Drosophila melanogaster: one gene and its partner. The protein of the gene in region 1 interacts with the protein of each later gene in a pairwise test. Each region holds a gene or a part of one and is shown on either strand. Other genes may lie near its edges. The genes, in order: Usp16-45 and CG8206.

Evidence for each region.
Region 2: the proteins of Usp16-45 (region 1) and CG8206 interact in a two-hybrid assay, tested with the Drosophila melanogaster proteins (one large-scale study listed by BioGRID).

The regions. Positions count from the first base shown.
Region 1 is NC_004354.4:5,419,703-5,427,434, forward strand, and holds Usp16-45 (ubiquitin specific protease 16/45), read left to right. Parts: upstream 1-1,830; 5' UTR 1,831-1,965; intron 1,966-2,265; exon of another isoform or gene 2,266-2,424; intron 2,425-2,480; exon of another isoform or gene 2,481-2,564; intron 2,565-2,689; exon of another isoform or gene 2,690-2,800; intron 2,801-2,877; 5' UTR 2,878-2,919; coding exon 2,920-3,315; intron 3,316-3,416; coding exon 3,417-4,048; intron 4,049-4,112; coding exon 4,113-5,260; intron 5,261-5,440; coding exon 5,441-6,645; 3' UTR 6,646-7,204; downstream 7,205-7,732. Other genes in the region: spoon (spoonbill), read right to left, coding at 492-536. UniProt on the Drosophila melanogaster protein: Involved in the regulation of DNA damage repair.
Region 2 is NC_004354.4:15,737,196-15,741,093, forward strand, and holds CG8206 (uncharacterized protein), read left to right. Parts: upstream 1-2,034; 5' UTR 2,035-2,207; coding exon 2,208-2,783; 3' UTR 2,784-3,222; downstream 3,223-3,898. Other genes in the region: CG11679 (uncharacterized protein), read right to left, coding at 369-1,631.

The DNA of each region.
Region 1 (7,732 bases):
AAGAGGAAGCCGTCGAACGGGGAGGTGAAGCAACAGCCTAAAAATTTGAAATTCCCCCGAACAAGCGAGAATGAGCGACACAGAGAGGCAAGCCAGAAGAGAGCACCAAAACAACAACAAATCAGGTGCAACAACATTGCCAGCTAGCCGAAAAAGTCCACATTGTTATAATCTTGGCAACGTGGTTTCCGATCATATGGTGGCCAAAAATGGGCGGGGATTGTATAATCGGGGGATATACTACTTTATATGTGTATACATATGTATGTATGCATAGACGCAATGTTTTCTTTGTGGGAGTGGCAGCTCCTTTTCGCCTTTGTTCTCTTTCAGGCGTAAAAAAACCGAACATTAACGGTGAAAGCTGTAACACACACAGACGCACTTATGCTCGGCATGTGTATGCGTGCGATTGTGGGTGTGTGTGTGTGTGAGTGCTGTCATTGTGTAATCGCCGAATTGAACTCCAAATTTTTTCCATAACCACTTACTGTCACTTTGCCGGAACAACAACAACAGCGGCAAGGCAGAGTCATACACTTAACAAAAAGTTGACAAAAAAAAGGTAGTTAAAACGTTGGCTATGGTACCGGGAAAGAGGTGCGAATAGAGCTCAAGACACGGACATTGGAACAAATCCACACAGAACAGAACATGACACCATTTTCCGTCACATCTCTCTGTTTTGGCAAACACACACACGCACTTTTTTTGTACTAGGTTATGTTCCGCGTGCTGCGATTTCTTACCTTTGTGAACCGCTTGGGTAACTTATTTTGCTCACTATCTTTGGGTGCTTTCAAAGCTATCTACTGCACACGCGAGTTGTGTATTGTTTTTGCTTATTTGCTGGCGATTTACTGTCGTTTTCTCAACGCTAAAGTGCTGCACGAATTAAACACGTGTCTACGTTCCACCTTTTACAAATCACAATAACATGGCCGGCGTGCGGCAGTGTTGCCATGCATCCGCAAAACTCTGGCAATCGGAGCTGCCTGCTTAATCACCCGCACTCGCGATGGCCAAATCCTCGAATTACAAGAGCCTTTGTGCACACAAAAAAAAAATATAGAAAAAATCACTTCACAGTTTGAATCGCAGCCCAATTATTTCTAGAAAGCCGAAAAACGTGTGCACGGAGTGCTGGTTATCAAATCGAATGGCAGCACATGCACAAACAGGGCTGCCCACGCTCATCGATAGGTATCGATTGGGGCAATAGGTATTTTCTTAGGCGGCGTTGCCACCGAATGTGCACAAAAGTGTTGCAAATTTCGCGATATTTCGTTACGATATTTTGTGGAGCAATACTTTTGGGCATTTGTAATTTTCCAACGTAGTTCTTGGGAAGTTCTGATTTCATTTTGTCTTACCACAATATGCTTGTTCATGCGAATTTCAGCCTATTTTTTGTCAGTATAGCGCACTATAAATCGATAATTTCGAAATAATATTTATATAGGAGCAGATAGCGACTTCAATATCTCAAAGAAAACAATCACTAAAAATCTTCTTTTTAATTTAACACAGTGATGTGTGTAATTCCAAATGATATTTTTTTAAATTTATAAAGCGGCGCAAAATAAAAAAAAGACCAAGCTAGTTAGTAGTGAATGCATACATAGATTTTTGAAATCCCTTCAATGATTTAATTACCTCCTGTTTGAGCGAAGAACATAAGCAGTGTGGATAATTAATTAAAATAATAATAATAGCAATTATTTGCAGCATAAGTTGAATGATATAAATGAATTATTTGCACATGTTTCGAGACCCTATAGTTTCTGACAACGGTTCAAATTGACCACACGCGAGATTTGCGACGAAAATAAGCAACGGTCACACTTGGTCACGTCGTTCACGTTTTCTATTTACGCATAAACGAATAAAAAGCGCCTAAAAGTGCTATAAAACATATATGTTGTGTGCTCATGTGCTACACATATCGCAGCGAGTAAATTTAAGGTAGTAGGCAGATCTTGTTGTGCATGTGTGTGGGTAATCACAGTTCTAGTTTTGTAATTTTTTATATTTCCTACACTGTAAGCTTGTTTATACATGAATATTGATGTATGTGCGTGTCTCGGCATGCAAGCAAACATGTTTAGGATTGTTTTTTGTGTGCCTTTCGGTTATTTGTCATTTTCTGACTTTGAACTTGCACATTGTTGTTGTTCCAAACTTGAATACCATTGCGGTCAGAAGAAGAGGAAGCCATCGAACAGAGAGGTGAAGCAACAGCCTAAAAATTTGAAATTGACCACACGCGGGAGTTGCGACCCAAATAAGCAACGGTCACACTTGGTCACGTCGTTCACGTTTTCTATTTACGCATATACGAATAAAAAAAAGTGCATAAAAGTGCTGTAAAACATATATGTTGTGTGCTTACGTGCAACGCATATCGCAGCGAGTAAATTCAAGGTACTACTCAGATCCTGTTGTGCATGTGTGTGGGGGTAATCACAGTTCGTGTCTATGTGTGCGTGCGTATGGGCTTGATTGGTTGGGTGCGTGTATGAGTTCGGGGTCCTTTGGATTTTCGAGAAATCATCGCAAAAAGGGTAATACATATATGTATGTATGTTTGGGTGGTCAAACAGCGGGGGCACTCAATTTCGCTGGCTGGCAGCGGGGCGACGAACTTAACCTCAAATCCTGGGTCACAGTTCCAAACGTGACGAAAGACAACAAAGCAAACAAAGCCAATAGGGTCAGTCTGTCGGTGCGAGTTCCAATCGAATTCAATCCCGTTGCCAGTTATACACATCGATAGCCGAATCGGAAGAGCAGCAGCAGGGTTGTGACTATAACGATTGCATTCGAAGCAATTCGAAGATTTGAATCTGTGATTGGAACGCTACATATTCCTTCCAGAGCGCGCCCACAAGGAGGCCAAGGCCAAGCAGCTACCTTGCCATGGTAAAGAAGCGTCAGGCGGACAGTCGCGACCACGATTGCTCAACGGATTCCGGCAATGAGGATCTGCATCATCGAAAAGGACTCGGCTCGCCCGGTCAGTCGGATGGCGCCACCCCCACCACCGCCAGCTGCCAGCACATCAAGAAGGCGGTGGACGCGGCCCGACTAAGGCGTCTACTGAAGTCCACGGGTCTACTCTACGAGTGCAGCCAATGTCAGAAGCTGGGCAAGACAGCGGGCAGCGCTGCGGGAGCGGGAGCGAGTGAAGGAGCTGTCGGTCCTGGCGGAAATCCGGTCACCTTCGAATTTGACAACACCCTGTGGCTGTGCCTCAAGTGCGGCAGCCAGCTGTGCGGGAGGGCACGCCACAAGCACGCCTTAGAACACTACCAGGTGAGCAGGGATCTAGTTCACTTAAGCCAGTTGCAAACGACATTCTCGTTTTACATTGATATTCCATATGGTAGAAGCTGTAATCGTTCTGTGTGTTCCAGACACCTCATTCGGACTCACATGCCCTGGCCATGAATACGCGCTCCTTCGACATCTGGTGCTATGAGTGCGACATGAAGATCTGCTCCAATCTGCGCAAAAACCTGCTTGAGTGCGTGGAGCTGGTCAAGAAATTGGCCCAGAAGCCGCCCACTAGCACGGTTACGCCCAGTACGCCAACGATTAGCTACATCGAGGAGAAGCTTAAAGCCGCGCTGGAGCATCTCACACCAATAGTGCCAATGACTGGCGGATCATTTGACGACTCCAGCAGTAGAGGGTCTCTGGCGGCGGCCGGTGGCGGGGGCGGGGTCGGTTCATCTCGAAATAGGCAGGTGGCCATACCGATGCCACCACCAGAGCCTAGCTCCGGACTTTCGACCTCAGACTCGCTGACCAGTGTGCCGGGTATGGCAAAGAGAATTGACCAGTACTCGGCCACCACCAATGGCAACACTGGGAACAAACGACTCCTGACCCTAGAGACGCCGCGCATCGAAAATGAACGCCTGCCCCGCGTGCGAGGATTGACCAACCTGGGCAATACATGCTTCTTTAATGCGGTGATGCAGTGCCTCGCCCAGACGCCGTTCCTACTTAGCGTACTGAAAGAACTGTCGGAGCCCGGAGAAGAGTAAGTTCCAGGCCGAAAATGTGCATGCAAAACCATTATATCTGATGTTTGATTCATTCAACAGATTCATCTTACCTGGCGGAACGTTCACCATAAAGGACAAAGGTGACATTGAGCTGCCGATGATCAAGGGTACCCTGTCCTCTTGGGGTGGACTCACGGCCGCGTTAGCCAATGCCCTTGAGGAACTGCAGGCTGGCGGTAGTGTATTTACGCCCAGAAAACTCTTCGACAGGCTGTGCGTAAAGTGTCCTCAGTTTACGGGCGGCGATCAGCATGATGCTCACGAACTGCTGCGCCAGCTACTGGAGAGCGTGCGGAACGAGGACCTAAAGCGCTACCAGCGTGTAATTCTGCAGAACCTCGGCTACAAGGATCAGGATGTAAATAGTGTGTCAGAGGAGATGCGACAAAAGTGCAAGATCTATGGCAATCAAGCAGGAGACCGAATTCTGCGCCCGGAACAGGTATTCCGTGGCTTTCTTGTGTCAACGCTCACCTGCCAGGATTGTCACAATGTTTCCTCGCGGCACGAGTACTTCCTGGACATGTCGCTGCCCGTGGCCGTAGAGAAACCTCAGCCGCCGCAGCGCCGAAAGCCAAGTCCGGAGCTCAGTCTTACGTCCAGCAGCTCTAGCGTCACCCCGAGCACTGGCCAGCCGACGATAAACACCAAGTTTACGGATGGTAGTGTCAACTTTACAGCCTCATCCCCGTCCTTCTTCCTGCACGCCCATGAGGCGGCATCCCTGGGCCCATCCAAGTCGCAGGTGAAAAAGGAGAAGGAGCGACAGCGTAAGGCGAAGCGGGCGGCCAAGAAGCGTCAGAAGTCTAGCCTTAATCTGAACGGAAATGATAGCGGAAATGGCAATGAATTGGCCGAGTCCGTAGACCAGGACGATGCCTCATTGGCTTCCCTGGGTGCCGGCGACGGCCAGGCCAATGATGGCCTCGAACAGACCAACGGCCAGACCGAGGATTCCACCACCTCCAGCGTGACTACTTCGGAGCACTCCGACGCCGATGTTGAGGACAATCTGGTGGAGGATACAGCCGCGCCGTCCACTAATAATGTGCCGAGCAGTACGGCATCCTTGACAGCTCCCTCCAAGACCTACATGGACAGCAATGGCAATGCCCAGCCGCCGGGGGAGAAGCGCGACGATACGCCGGAGCACATGGACAAGGATTCGCTCGAAGAGGACGAGAATGGTGAGTGAAAAGAGTGCCTTTATTTTTTTTTATTTAAATATAAAGATTGCATTCCCTTGCAAGTTAAGTTGCTTTGTACTTTGTACTTTGTATTTATCTGTGATCGTGATTAGGAAAAAATCCGATGATTGCCTAATACAATATACTGACTTGTCGCCTTTCATTTCGAATCGCTTGCAGACTCGGGAATCGCCACCAGTCCAGCACCAACTGCTACCAACAGCAGCACCAGTACCAGTGCCACAGGGAACAATAACTCTGTTGCCGGATCGGGGCTGTCCGGTTCATCGGGCGCTCTGGAGGATCCCTTGGCGCCAGCCAGCTTGGTCACTGCCGGACTCTCAGAGAAGGGCGCCTCGGTGATCCGCCAGGTCTCGGTGGGAGCTGAGCAGGGCGCATCCAATGGCACAGAAGACGCGGATGGCGAAGCCAAGGCAATCGAGCAGCCAGAGAAGACTCCTAGCCAAGCTCAAGCCATGGCTCAGGCCCAGGCCCGTACGAAGCGAGTGCGCACGCAAAGCTACTCGGACTGGAGCACCACGATAGCGCCGCGCTACCAGTGCGAGGATGGAGAGTGCTCCGTGCAGTCGTGCCTCAATAATTTCACCGCTGTCGAGCTGATGACGGGACAGAACAAGGTGGGATGCGATAGCTGCACGCAGCGCATTAACGGCAGTGATCCGAAGGCCAAGTCGGTGAACACCAATGCCACGAAACAGCTGCTGGTCTCCAGTCCGCCAGCGGTGCTCATACTACACCTGAAGCGTTTTCAGCTGGGACCGCGCTGCATCTTCCGCAAGCTGACGCGCCCGGTTAGCTATCCCAATCTGCTGGACATTGCCGCCTTTTGTGGGTCCAAGGTCAAGAATCTGCCGAACATCGATCGCAAGCAGAAGAAGCTGTTGTACGCGCTATATGGCGTAGTGGAGCACTCGGGCGGCATGTACGGTGGCCACTATACGGCGTACGTGAAGGTGCGTCCAAAGGTGGCGCCGGGCGACAAACGCTGGAAGTTCCTGCCGCATGGCAGCAAGGCGGAATTGGACCAGGACGATGACCAACTAAAAAAACTGGAGGAGCTGCTTGCCAAGGAGAAGGCGCGCGAGCAGCACCTGAAGGTGTTGGACGACAGCGATGACTTTAGCAACTCCAGCAGCAACTCGTCCACCTCCGACGAGAGCCAGACCCCAGCCACGCCACTGGAGGAGCAACAGACGCAGCAGGCGCAGCAGCCGCAGCAGCCGCAGCAGCTGGAGGAGGCTGCCAACGTTCGTGCGCCGCCTGGCAAATGGTATTACGTGTCCGACTCGCGTGTCCAGGAGGTCAGCGAGGATACGGCGCTGAAGGCGCAGGCCTATCTGCTTTTCTACGAACGCATATACTAGGGATTAGCTCGAGCTTTAAGCGGAACTGAGGATGCGAGGCGTATGGAAGAAAATTTTGGAATCCTATATTTGATACAGACAGAGTGCCGGAGAAAGAGAAGGCAGATACTCACACATGCCAAATGCATTTGGTTTCTCCCACTCAAAATTAATTGTACACTTTCGCTATTTTTATTATTATTATTTTTTTTTTTTGGAACAAGCTTTAGTTAGTTAAATGATGCAAAGGAGTAGACACACGCACTCATGTTAAATTGTAGTTCTCAGGAGGTTTGCTATTATGTCCTCGATTTAATTGTACTATTTTTTTAGTCATTAACAAAAAGACACTGAAGAGAAAATTATGTTTTATTAGCTGTAAGTTCTTTTGTTACCAAAATTGCCCATTATGACAGAAAGTTACTTAAACATACTCGAGTTGGGGGTTAAAAAAATGGATCGAAAGGAAAAGACAGACCGCAGAATGGATAGCTAAAAACGGATAAGCACAAATGAAATGGAGGCGGTTAACCAAGAGAGAAACTATTTGCAGATGTTCATAAGTTATAATAACGAATACAAATGAAATAAAAAAAAACCGATTGCTCGCTTCTGCCAATATATTTAACTTTGCAGTAACATAACATTATGTACACCTTAATTATATATAATATATATACACTATATTACGGGCCCATATACACATACCGCCCACGTAGATATGTATTTACAAGTTCAGCCGAAGGAGTAAATGTGTTCTTGGACCTACGTAGCGAAAGAATTGGCAACAGGAGAGATTTATACAATAGCGAAGAATAAATAATTATACACACAGTTTATCTTATGATCTAGGCTTAACTATCGTTTAATTTATGATAACTAATCAATCTATGAACTCTCTTGTATATTAAAGAGACAAAAGATTTATGAACGCCGCCGCCTGTTGTGATTTCAATAACCGAAAACGGAAGAGCTTCGTTTCGGGCAGGGGAAGATTAGGCATCATCATGGAGTAAGCCATACCGATTCCATTTAGTACGCCCCCAGCTTATCGGCCACCGGCTCTCCCACTATCTGCCTTCCATCTGACCCCATTTGATTCCATCCC
Region 2 (3,898 bases), about 10 Mb from region 1:
CAAAAACAAAATGAAAACACAAGAAACAACTTTTTGGAATGCTAATAATTCTATATTTCAGCAAAATACAAATACACATACAATAAAATTATAATATTCTCGATGTAGATCTATAGCATTTTTCGACAGAGGAAAAGAAATGACACTTCGTCTGCTTTAGTGCTGTCGATTAATCTAGCCATTTTTTTAAATTGGATCTAGTGAGAATTTTAAAATCGTAATGTTTGGTGTTTTTAACGGGCAACAACAAATTAAAAAGGACAAAAAAAAAATAGAGCACAGATCAAACAAACTTTTGGAACGCTAACAATTCTATATTTCGTCAAAATACAAATATAGTACAAAAAACTATCGACCAAGCCTACTTGCTAATTGGGAATCGAGGCGGCAGGAGCAGCCAGTGGCAGGACCTCTAGCTTATGCGAATCACTGTGATCGCTGACGAAGTGCAGCACTTCGAAGCCCACCTCTACCATGATCAGGATTATGATCATCCACTCGAGCCGGATATGATGGGCATCGTTCAGATTGTGGGACACCAGCTCGGCCAGTTCCACGCAGTGGTTGATCTTCTCGTTCATCACCTTGGTGCGCCGTGAGATGCTGAAGTAGGAGCACACCTGCAGGTAGAGTGCCTCCAGTTCCTCGCGGTCCCAGTAGAAATCGGGTGCATCCAGCAGATCCGACGACAGGTTGATCACATGACGCAGGGCAAATAATTCACCGGTTTTTCGCAGCATGGCCGCCCGCGAGATTCTTAATCGGCGACCACGCTTTAGATCCTCGGTGAGATGCTCTATGGAGTCTATGTAGCGGTCCAGTGTCGCCTCCCACATGCCCAGCTTTATTGACTGTGCCATCGCATTGGAGAAGGTGTACTTATACAGGAAACTATCCGTATCGGCGGTAACAAAGAACTTGCCATTCTGGAAGAATGCCCGTGACGTGACATTGAAGTCGCTGCTCTCCGCCACCAGATCGCCCTCCACATCCACCGCCGTCGATGGAATGTAGGTGTAGGGCATCACCTCGCTCTCCCCGTGAACCAGGGCACTCACATACGATTCCCTTTCGAAGGCGCGCAGGAAACTTAGCACATTGTTCGTCTCGATGTCGCTGCAGTTCCAAAAGACCACCGAGCCCTCGCGGAAGAAGAATATCTCCCGCGGCTGCTGACCCGTCGGATATTTGGCCGCCACAAAGAGCACATTCTGCTCCACGTCCAGATTGTCTGTGGAGAAGAAACGCTTCGTCTCGTACAGGTTCTGTTCGCGGAGGGCTATCTGCAGATCCTCCAGATTGTACTCCTCGGCGGTCGTATAACCACGGGTGTTGAGAAACCCCAAAGCGGACAGTTCATCGATGGCCAAGCGCTTCTTTCGAATGATCCTGGTGCGAATGGGCGATAGTATCGACTCCAAGCGCTCCTCGGCTAGCGGCAATGGCTTTACCCGCGGTTGCGTTTGAGTTCTAGGTACAGAAGCTGCTTGAGCTGGCGCCGCAGCCGATGAGGTGGCTTCACTGGCCAACCATCGGCGGCGGTCCATCATCCACTGCGTCTGCGTCTGCTGGCGCGGAATTCGAAGTCCTCCAAGGACCATCTGCCCGAATCTCAGGCGTGCAAAGTTCATGGCTTTTGATTTATGCTCCAGCAGCAATTAGTGGCCCATTTCTGGGAGTTGAGATCGGTTTGGTAACGAATCGTATCTGGTGGCTATATAATATAGTAGCCGGCCTCCGATTGCCTTTTGTTGTGATTATCGAATCCGATAGGCACTCAGTGGTGAACTCGGTTCTTCGGCCGTTAGTTATTTCTAAGCTATGAATTTTCATTATTGCTTGGTATTTATACTACAAATTTGGTAGTTGAAATTCTGTTATTTGCTTTTTGAAATGCTGTAACGAGTCTTCAACTCATACTACATAAACTTCTGCCAATAGAGACAAATTACTGAACCTGGATACAAAATAGCCAAAATGTGAGAACTGAATTTAAGCGGCCAACCGCCTGCACTGCTCCGATAACGATAGCCATCAGCTGTTTTCATCGCTCCACTTAACCATTTTCTTCCCCATTTGGGGCAAAACAAAACGCAGTAACTACCCCACATTCAGCACGTGCGGCGCCAGAATTCAGGACGCACTGCAGCGGGCGGCAAGAGCAGAAAGCAACGCGGATGTGCAACACCGCTTAGTAGCAACATAAAATGAACGCATTGCGCAACATCTTCACATCGCGAACTCTCAACTATTTGCGCCAGAATGGACAAAACGCGATCCTCAACGCCACCCAGCAGCAACAAGCGGTGGACGCCGTGCCGCTAACCAACGATGCCGAGCAGCACCTAAAATCGTCGCGTCCAGCACCGCTTTCCATACCGCGCTCCATACTCGATGCGTGCCATTTCACGGCCAAGCAGTTTGACCTGGGAGGCTCCACGTCCGGAAACCAGGCGAATGGCTCTCTGTCGCCGACGACACTGAAGCGCTTCCGACGCATGCAACGCCGCATGGAGCTGGTGTACCGCTGCAAGCTGTGCAACACCCGCAACACGAAGACCATCAGCGAAGAGGCCTACTACAGCGGCGTGGTGATCCTACAGTGCGACGGCTGTGCCGTCGACCATCTGATCAAGGACAATCTGGGACTGTTCACCGGCAGCGATGGCGATAGCAGCATTAGCTCTGGAATCAGTACCAGCAAGAATATCGACCAGGTGCTGGCCGACCGGCATGCCCGCGTCCGGGTGATCAAGGTGAACGAGCGCGGCGAGCTGATTTAGGAACTCTAGTCAAAGGGGCATCAGTAGAGGTGAGAACCTGGTGCCGTCAACCTGCGAATCGTGTCTGAGGAGGACACACTCGACACGGGGTGGCACATTGAACCCAAGCAACCAAGCACCCAAGTACCCAACTGCAAACCGGAATCCCACATTCTGTTTCCGAGCTCAGACGGCTGTATATAATAATTGTACTGTAATTGTTGATTGTTTCGGGCCGTGAGTAATGCCTAAAAAAGTGATTAAAGGAACGACCAGTTCAAAAGCAAAAAACAAACATTGTATATGGCTAAATCTGTTATTCCGCTGTAGACTATCTAATCAGGGTGCACAGAAAGAAAAATGTCTCATTGTTGATATAAATGTTAAAATACATATGTATATGTACAATCATCAAGTTTTGGCTACAAGCCATCAATTTTTGTCAATATACGCCGTGCCTATCTTATATTGACCAGGTTTTTTTTTCTGTGTACGCACACGCATATATACTAGACGTGCCCAGTCAAAAGTGGACTCATTTATTTATCTGGAGAGCCCTAGAAGCCGGTAGAAGCCGAAGGGGCTCGGTGGCCGCTCGCTAATTGATCGGATCGATCAAAACACAGCCGGAGTGCTAATTATCGCAACAATAAAAATTGGCACGCTGCCGGCCTGGCTACGCAATGGTGAAATGTGCCGGATTGGTAGGTATAGATACGGCTTTGGGGCTAGACACTAATGCATACCATATATAAATACATATAAGTATGAAAAACACGCCCCTGTCGAGTGATCTTTTCTGCGTCGTAAGGGGCCGCCGAATCCCTAAGAGATATGCCCCCAAATTGGCTAACAACAACGGATTTTGTGCGCTGATGGCATGTGGACGGAAGATAGTAAGCCCACGGAGTCTGTAGTTATTGCCAAGTGGTTCTACCAACTGTTACATCCATCTCTTGACATCTAAATTAATTAACTTCATTTGAAACTTCATTAAGATCTATCCCAATCTGCTGCTCTGCCATAATAAATATTGAAATAGATATATATGTAGATATGGTTTATTATTTTGAAAACACCAAGCAGATTGTTTCAGTGCTGCATATAATTGCATATAATTTCGAATGCCCAACTCA